Linked DNA regions of Saccharomyces cerevisiae S288C. The protein of the gene in region 1 interacts with the protein of each later gene in a biochemical or structural test. Each region holds a gene or a part of one and is shown on either strand. Other genes may lie near its edges.

Evidence for each region. Proteins that work in one complex are often made in the same cells at the same time.
Region 2: the proteins of HTB2 (region 1) and CHZ1 are reported together in a solved structure, tested with the Saccharomyces cerevisiae proteins (one study listed by BioGRID).

What each region holds. Positions count from the first base shown.
Region 1 is NC_001134.8:233,421-238,905, reverse strand, and holds HTB2 (histone H2B), read right to left. Parts: upstream 2,415-5,485; coding exon 2,019-2,414; downstream 1-2,018. Other genes in the region: ECM15 (Ecm15p), read left to right, coding at 1,439-1,753; HTA2 (histone H2A), read left to right, coding at 3,114-3,512; UTP20 (Utp20p), read right to left, coding at 3,789-5,485. UniProt on the Saccharomyces cerevisiae protein: Core component of nucleosome. Nucleosomes wrap and compact DNA into chromatin, limiting DNA accessibility to the cellular machineries which require DNA as a template.
Region 2 is NC_001137.3:211,550-215,878, forward strand, and holds CHZ1 (Chz1p), read left to right. Parts: upstream 1-1,887; coding exon 1,888-2,349; downstream 2,350-4,329. Other genes in the region: MIG3 (Mig3p), read right to left, coding at 1-327; mRNA splicing protein SMB1, read right to left, coding at 1,038-1,628; Rab family GTPase YPT31, read right to left, coding at 2,527-3,198; FIR1 (Fir1p), read left to right, coding at 3,514-4,329. UniProt on the Saccharomyces cerevisiae protein: Forms a chaperone-bound H2A.Z-H2B complex that acts as a source for SWR1 complex-dependent H2A to H2A.Z histone replacement in chromatin.

The DNA.
Region 1 (5,485 bases):
ATTCTTCTTTCTATCAATAACCATGAGATTGTGCCTCAGTAATATTTGAGACGATTTAGAGTAAGGTCAAATATTATTATTAATCAAGTTGTGTAAAGGCTCATTTGTGAAGGTTAGAATAGTAATCGATGATTTTCAAGTAAAAGTGTTTGAAGGGCATTTCAGTAACATCTTCAAACTAGGAGTTTGTTGAGACAAAAAAGTCTGATTTTCATAAGATCATAACTTACGCTTTGAAGATCGTTATGAGTACCTTGTAGCTTGCCAGATCTTCTTGCTTATTCTTAAGCTCTTGGGTAGTACTGTATAAGACTGCTTGACATCGGGAACACTATCATTACCGTGTGATAGAATTCTCGTACCAAGCCGGTTCACCTTTGCGTGGTCTAGTGCATAGGAAGAATGACTAATAGAAAGCTTTCATTTCTATTAGTGTCTTAAATGCGAAGAAGGTATGGGAATCTATTACATACATGAAGAATATAGGATCTGTATATCGTCGTCACCGACGTAAGGTTTTTTTGTCAATTCTCGGTGAACAATTTTTTGCAAGAAATATATTGATACTTCTTGTTGAAATATTTTTCTTTTTCGGAAAACAAAAACATAAAATAATTATTTAAGAAAAAAAATTAATTAATAAATTTAAATAGAAAATCTTTTTTACTTAATAATAATTAAATAAATAAGTCACATGATTTATGTAGGATCAATTTGCTCAAGATTAATTTATTATTATTGATATTAGTAGGTGCCAGTTGAATAGCTATATTTTCAGTCTGTTTGAACGTTCTTTTTTTCATTTTCTGCTGAAAGCAAGTACTCCTACTTTTATTACTTTACATGTTATCGGAGGCCTGCACAGACACTTGTATCCTATACTATCAAGGTAAATATGATTGATTGATCCTCTTGGGAAATGGGATTTTAAGTTTTGTTAGCATTCTGGTTTGCCAACCTGTTGGTAAAGCACTATTTTTCAAGCTTTTGCAACGAGATTTGTCTCTTTGATTTTTTATTTATGATTTCTAACTTTTTACTTTTAGTTAAACTATTAAAGAATAATTTTCGCAAGGTACATAGCGATTTAAGTAGTTCAGAAAAGAAATTATTTAAAAATTACTCGCTCTCTTATTTGAAATGAAGATGGTTTTCAGACAAACTCCTACACAAGCTTGTTACTGGCTTTCAGTCCGAAAACAGCTCCAAACCCTTTAATAAAACCTTTCGTTTCTTTTACTTTTTATTCGAATTATATAGCTCTTTGACATTCCTTTTTTAGTATGATTCAAGCTCCCCTCTTTTCCACCCCGTGAAAAACAGAATATCATTAACCGGGATTCACTGACATCGTCAAAAGGAGAGATCAAGATATTCAGTTTTTGTCATTGCCGTCGTGATCATTAACTATAAAGCACATAAACTACAAGTTTAGAAAATGCCCAAGATCTTTTGTTTAGCGGACGTGTGTATGGTCCCTATTGGCACCGACTCTGCTAGTATTTCTGATTTTGTTGCACTCATTGAAAAAAAAATCAGAGAAAGCCCATTAAAGAGCACTTTACACAGTGCAGGAACAACAATTGAAGGGCCTTGGGATGATGTGATGGGTTTGATTGGCGAAATCCATGAATACGGTCATGAGAAAGGATATGTTAGAGTACACACTGATATTCGTGTTGGGACTAGAACTGATAAGCACCAAACTGCTCAAGATAAGATCGATGTTGTTTTAAAAAAAATTTCTCAATGAATGCTCGTGTAGTGAACCTAAATAGGGTATATCTTTAAGGAGAGTTTAAGAAACAATTTAATAATAACTGTTTGCAAAATATCTTTCCCAATTTTTTTTGTTTATAAAGTTATATATATACATTTATACAACTCCCTTCGGAGGCTGATAGACTAGACCCTTCCAATCATATCTGGACAAGTAACAGAACCCTAATGTTACAATATATAAAAAATGCCACTAATAAAAAGAAAACATGACTAAATCACAATACCTAGTGAGTGACTTAGGCTTGAGTAGAGGAGGAGTATTTGGTAACAGCCCTAGTACCTTCGGAGACGGCATGTTTAGCCAATTCACCAGGTAAGATCAATCTAACGGCTGTTTGGATTTCTCTAGCAGAAATAGTGGATTTCTTGTTATAAGCGGCCAATTTAGAAGCTTCAGTAGCAATTCTTTCAAAGATATCGTTAACGAAAGAGTTCAAAATAGACATAGACTTCTGGGAAATACCAGTGTCTGGGTGAGTTTGCTTCAAAACTTTGTAAATATAAGAGGAATAGGTCTCCTTTCTAACCTTAGATCTCTTCTTACCATCGACGGAGGTTGATGTTTTCTTGGCAGCTGGCTTCTTTTCAGCTGGAGCTTTGGAAGCTGGTTTCTTTTCGGCGGCAGAGGACATTAGTTGTAGAGTAAGTTGTTGTTGGTTTGAGTATAGAGCAATCAGAAAAAATTAACAAGAAGAAAGTAAAATTTTTAAAAAGCTAAATAAATAAACAAAACCAGTCAGCAAAAAAATTTTACACATATACCATGATATATAATAATATATTTAAAAACCTGTGTTATGCTCAAATAACGGTTACTGATCCAAAACCTTATATATGACGGCAAGTGTCTCACTGTTGCATTACGCGATGTTTCTTTTCTTTGTTCTTGTAAGCGCGATTTTACCAGAACTAGATGGCGCTCGTGATCCTGAAAACGGGGAGAAATTTTGAGAACACCGCTTTATTAGGCGAAGCGGTGGGCACAGCTCACGCGTAAGGTGTTCCCATTATTTCTCAAAGTGATGCGAATTTCAGAGAACACATTAACCTGGGGGCCATAAACGCGACGTGCTACCATTTTCGTTACGTATACTTAGGCCAGAGATTACAACATGACTACTAATATCAAACATAACTCTATATATAAGGGATGAAGATGTATGCTTTCTTAGAATTTCAAACATGTTCCGTTAAAGTTTTACTTTTCGATTTCAATTTCGACTGCATGATGCTTTTCTTAGGTAGTTTTTTGTTATTAAATAGTATCATAAATTCTTGTCTTTTTACATAAGAATTAGGAAAGTACAGAACAAGAGCAAATTTAATATATAATGTCCGGTGGTAAAGGTGGTAAAGCTGGTTCAGCTGCTAAAGCTTCTCAATCTAGATCTGCTAAAGCTGGTTTAACATTCCCAGTTGGTAGAGTGCACAGATTGCTAAGAAGAGGTAACTACGCCCAGAGAATTGGTTCTGGTGCTCCAGTCTATCTAACTGCTGTCTTAGAATATTTGGCTGCTGAAATTTTAGAATTGGCTGGTAATGCTGCTAGAGATAACAAAAAAACCAGAATTATTCCAAGACATTTACAATTGGCCATCAGAAATGATGATGAATTGAACAAGCTATTGGGTAATGTTACCATCGCCCAAGGTGGTGTTTTGCCAAACATTCACCAAAACTTGTTGCCAAAGAAGTCTGCCAAGACTGCCAAAGCTTCTCAAGAACTGTAAGAACTGAGTTGAAAAGAAACAAAGCAAATCAAACATTCTTGTCATTTGGGGTTTTAAAGTAGGTCATATGAGGAAGACTGGTATGTCTTTTATCTAACAGTTTTATAAATAGCGTCGTTTTATTAAAGACAGTGTATAGTATTACTATTAATAAAGAAAATAAAAAACGTATCAAGTTTACGGTTTTACTTACGGAAATGCTAACGTACTACAGCTTTGACGTTATAACTTGGATTTTTTATTCATTAGTATACATGTTATAAAGATATATTACAGCTAGGCTCTCTTTCTTTTGTTACGTCTTTGATAATACCCATTTTCATCCTTTTCATGCTTTCTCTTTTCCCTCGATCTCGCATGCTTTCTCAACTTTTTATCAGCAGAAATTTGTGGAGCGTTAACAGCCAGAATTGCCCTTTTAGATCTCCTTTCCTTTCTTCTTTCTAATACGGTCTGTTTGACAGCAGTGTATATTTTTGTAAAATCGGATACTTGCAATTTGTCTTCCAGTATTTTTAAACATTCGTTTGAAAGAGTGCGTAGTTCTTCCTGTTCTTCATCAACTGCTCTTGAGTAATATGTTTCTAAATAACCATATAGCGGCAATAATATCTTTTCCCCTTCTGCAATTACTTCGTCTTCGTCCAGAACTTGAACTAATAAGGCCAATAACTGAATACACGCCTTCTTCGACATAAAAGAATCCATACGATGTTCATCCGACCTGATAATACCACCAATTCGAGTTACCATATAATCAATGGCGGTAGTATATTTTAGATCCTCTCCAGTTTGTTTTGATACATCCATTATGAACGGCGTGCGTTGCTCCTTCCATAGGATACTGATATTAACTAATGTTTTTATTGAGACGTTCGCAAGATTCTCCGGAATAGAAGGCGCACCTAATTGGTGAAGAATTCTTGTTGCAATGGTTTGAATTTCCAGATTGGTTAATGATATCTCCAGCTTATCCTTATTGGCTATGAGTTGATGAACAAGATTTGCCGCCGATTGACGGACCCATGAGTGCGGATACAAGAGACATGTGATAATACCATCCCATATGTCTTTGAAACCATGTTTATAAACGCTCTCTGTTGCTTCCATATAAGATGAGAACGTATTTAAAGCTGAGTATACCAAATCCCACTGATGTTCTGATCCTACCGACGTATCGCTCAAAATGTACCTTATACGCTTGATGGCAAGCTCGTCTAGCTCAATAGTATGTTCAAACCCAATACTTTTCAAGTAGACCTTATAAGTTCTCAACCCAAGATTTAAAAAGGATGCATTATCAACCTGTTTTAGCCAAGCGGCTATATATTTTTCAACAATTTCAAGGTCCTTATTTTCAAGCTTTGGAAGCATGGTGGAAATCAATACTGAAGCCATCTCACGGCATCTTGGCGCATCATCATTAAAAGAAACATTAACTAGCGCCAGAAAGAAGGAAGATGATAATTTGGATAGTAAAGCAGGATTAGCCTTTGTAATAATCAAATTGATCAATTCCATTACGGACTGACGGCCGGACTCGGTAGGATACTGTAAATTGTCGACCATAAATTTGAACTGCTTTTCTAAACGACCCTTACTTTGGTCATATTCCATTAAAAATTGGTAGTAAACGCTCCTGGATACATCCCTAATTTCTTTTGAGTGGTTTGTGACCATGATTTCCCTAGTAGTATCCGCAATGTCATAGAGTTCTGGAAGCATGATATGTTTTGAAACAAGTGCTTTTAGGAAATTAAAAGCAAGGCCTTGTCTGCTTGGTTCATTTAAATCTGGTAAGACCCTCCCTAGAACATAACTCAAAGCAGTATCCTTTAATGTTGAATCTGTGTGACGTATAAAGGCAGAAAGAAACTTTAAACCCATTTGGCATAATTCGCTTGAAGTTGAAGGAGAAACCTTGATAATATTTAGTACCTTCCTCGCACAGTTTTTGAAGATTTCACTAGATT
Region 2 (4,329 bases), on another chromosome or scaffold:
TATCCCCGTGAGCGAAACACCAGTGTTTTCATTGAAGGTGGTAGGGGCGGCGGTAGCAGTATTCACAACGGTTTTTCGCGAGCCCTTGGATTTTATTCTGCGCCTTTGGACGCCTTTAGTATGTGTCCTCAAATGTCTTTTTAGTTCATCGCTTCGGCTGAAGCTTTTCGGACAGCCCTGAACGGTACATTTGTGAGGCTTCTCGCCAGTGTGCGTTCTTCCGTGCCTTTTTTTATGTTCAAGTCTGTGGAAACCTCGTGAACAAATTTCACATCTAAAGGGTCTTTGGTCATTATCCGGAGGAAATCTATCTCGCAGGTAATTCATATATGGAATTTAAGAAAAGGATCGCCGATGTGCACCTACTAAGAGCAAAAGGAAATACTATGAAGCACACCGACTCATGGCAAGAAAGGGTCTCTGTTTTTAAACTTTATCTACTAGGATTAAGGAAAAAAAGAAGAAAAATAATGAAGCAACAAAAAAAAACTGGAACTGCTTTGCCTTCCAAGTATTACTGATTGAAGAACAGTATGAGGGAGCTAAATCATTTATACACGGAAAAATTAGTGAAGGATTTTTTGGTGGGGTCTCCAAGGAAGTAATTTCTACGGTGTGGTCTATGTATGTTTTTCCGGACGCGTTCCGCCGTTTTGGTTTCTGCCCCAGAACACCCCCCATAAAAGAGGTTTTTCCGAAGAGTGCCTTTCAGTTTTTCCGAGATCTTTATCTTTTTCATCCGTATTATGTAAACCTGAATAGCCCCTTGAGCAATTGAGTTGCATAATAGCATGCAATTGCATATTGAACCTCCTAGGACTTAAAGGTTATTCGTCAACTAAGGAAAAATATGCTCATAACTTACATATCTCGTACACCCTAAAATCCCACACAGGGATTAAAATTAAAATTATGTTTAGGTAATGAAAAAATAGTAAAAAAATGCTTCCTTAAGTTAATTATGAATTTCCCTATTAACACACATGCGTACACAAAAAAAGTATACGGAAACTATATTAGACTACACTACATCAACCTTATTTTCTTTTAAAACCTGGTGGGGGCTGAAACTTCCTTGTTTGAGGGGGCGCTTCATTATTAAACCTCGACCTATTTGCGCCGATATTATCGTTGCCACCATTGTATCTGCTCGACGATGGTTGGGCAATCTCCCTAGAATTGCTACTAGTATGCTTCGCATTGGCCGTGTTAGGTTTAGCGATCTTTCCCGGCTTTTTCTCTTTCTCTTTTCTTAGTTTCGTCTGCTTTTGCGCTTGTTTCTTTTCCTTTTTATCTCTCACTAGTCTTTCCTTCTTGGATAGTAGCGGCTTATCCTCCACCACTGTGGATAAGATCTGTTCTCCTCTTAGTATAGTCAGTCCCAACACTCTTTTTTCTACCTTGATGTTCAAAGTGGTTCCATCTTTTGAATCTTTTCTCGGTCTTAATTTATCTAGTTGAGTTTTGGGTACCCTCTCTTCTATACACTCATTCAACACTAAATTCATATGTTTATCAAATGCCATCAATTGCCCGATGTAAACGCGGCCATCTTGAGTGAGAACCCTCAGCTTATAATCAATAAGGTTGGCTAGTCGGCTGCTATGTGCCACCTGTATTTTGCTCATTAGTTATTTACTTTACTGGAAACCTGTTATACGGATGGTTCTGTTACCCCTTCTACTTTTTTCCCTGTCTTGTTCATTTCTAACTAGCATAGGCTTCTTTAAATTTCATTTTTTATTTTCATAATTTTTATTTTGAATTTTTTCCCACATTATCGTGAGAAAAACAAGAACATGGAGAAATAAGGAAGCTCGGTGGGTGGTTAATTGGGGAACACACCTGGTAAGTAAAATTCAATACATGGAAGGAAAGAGAGAAATAATGTCTGACGAAGCAAAGGAAAAGCGTGAATTAGAAAGCCAAAAGGAATCAAGTCATAATAAATCCGAAAAGTCTGTGGAACCTAAGCCAAAGAGAAGAAGAAGAAGAAACTATGACGATTATGACGCTGAAGTAGCAAAAGAGGAGACTAAGGCTAAAAATGGTTTGACGAAGAGCGAAAATAATGGTACTGTTGAAGATTCTGAATCTGATATGGACGATGCCAAGTTAGACGCATTGATGGGAAATGAGGGAGAAGAAGAAGAGGACGATTTGGCAGAAATTGATACCTCTAATATCATCACATCCGGAAGAAGAACACGCGGCAAAGTAATTGACTATAAAAAGACTGCAGAAGAATTAGACAAGAAGGAACCTAGCACAGGCTCTAAAGATGATGTAGGATATGGTGAAAAAGAAGAAGACGATGAAGACGAAGAAGACGATGATTTTAAAGAGTAGTAAGCAAAATGTCGTACATACCGGCCTCTACTTGTGTATTCTGTTTACTTCAATTTCCTATATGCGTTCTATATGTATATAAACTATATGTCAGCAGAAAATTGTAAAAATATAGCACAGAATTAAAGGGGAGAAGAGTCATTCACATGCAAGTGCGCAACTGCTGCAAAATATCTCTTAACAACAGTTATTTCCATTTGCCTTTTTGTTTTCGTTTGGTGTTGGTGTCAGACTAATCGTTGGTCCATTAGGAGCGGACGCACCATTGGCATTCCCGTTGGCACTGGAGTCACCAAGGTCCATTTGATGCTTGCTGACCTTTTGATAGATGGTATTGATTAACTCTTCAAAAGCCTTATCCACGTTTTCACTGTTCAAAGCACTTGTTTCTGTGAATAATAACTGATTTTCCTGTGCAAAAGTCTTGGACTCCTCCGTAGGTACAGCACGTAAATGGGCCAAATCAGACTTGTTACCGATAAGCCCCACTGCGACGTTGTCATCTGCATTTTCTCTTAATTCTGATAACCAATGATTACAATTTTCATATGAGCTTGATTTACTGATATCGTAAACGATCAAGGCACCTACAGCTCCTCTATAATAAGCAGAAGTAATGGCTCTGTAACGTTCCTGGCCCGCAGTATCCCAAATCTGCGCCTTGATCCTCTTGCCATCAATTTCCAAAGTTCTGGTGGCAAACTCAACCCCAATTGTAGACTTTGAATCCATATTGAATTCGTTCTTCGTAAATCTTGACAATAGATTGGATTTCCCTACCCCGGAATCACCGATCAGTACAATTTTAAATAGTAGGTCGTAATCATACCCGTAGTCCTCGCTGCTCATTGTTGAAATCCCCAGACGCCGTCAGAATCCCTTTGCTGGCCTAAACAAAGTGCCTTGTAATAAAGGTCAAATTGTTATTCGTTTCTTTCTTGAAAAGTTTTGAGTTTCCCTCTTTCTCTAATTTAGCACCCGCACACCGCAGCGGCCTGTGATATTCCGCATTGGAAAATGGTAAACAAACAACAAACGAGCCCAAACATAACAACAGTAGAATTGACGCCTAGGAACAACAATACAACATACTTACAGCAAGACTACTACCTAATTAGTGCAATTAGATTGCGCTGGGATAGATCTGAAGCTTTTTTTCCGATTATGAGCCTCCCTGTTACACCTGTCAAGAGCAAAGTGTGCAGTACATTATCGATACAACATGAGATGGACCATGATCAATGCCGTGATGTGTTGTGCCCACGCGAAAACTTACTAGCCATTAATAGAACTAATAATATAGAGAGTGTTGCTATACCGCGACAGAGATCGAGCAAGAACAAGAAACCCCATGAGCATACACAATCGCAGGTTCGATTTTCCATTCCAGATCCAAATGAAATATCACAGGACTCCCCACTGAAAATTGTATTCCCCAAGAGTGGAAATGAAACCGAAAGAAGAATGTCTACTTCATCATTACTTATGAATAGCCATGGTCATTTAGTCGACATGCACTCTAAAATACTGGTCGATGTCCCTAAAGAAGTTTGGAAGTTTCATCATAACAGGAGAAAAAAATGTGAAAGCAGGCACCGTAAAACTCGTTCTGATGTTAGGTCCAACACAAGTAGTAGTGGAAAAGAACCAAACCATTCTAGATCAAAATCATTACAGTCGATCATTGTGGATACAATGAACACATATCGTGCAACCGAGGTTGAGACCAGTATTAATGAGAATACTAGTAATATTAGCCAAGTATCTCCGCTGAATTTATCATTTGACAGGCCTCCTCCCTTAACTCCCGAAAAGAATTTATATCTCACTCCTGAATCGCCATTGAACAGATATCATTTACCAGTTCCATTAGAAATATCTCTGCCGCCCTACTTATCTCCGCAAAACAAGGATAAAAAGAGGAGTAGCTTGGTTTACGATGGGGATGGCTATAGCCAGTTTCAAGAAGGTAACACCTCA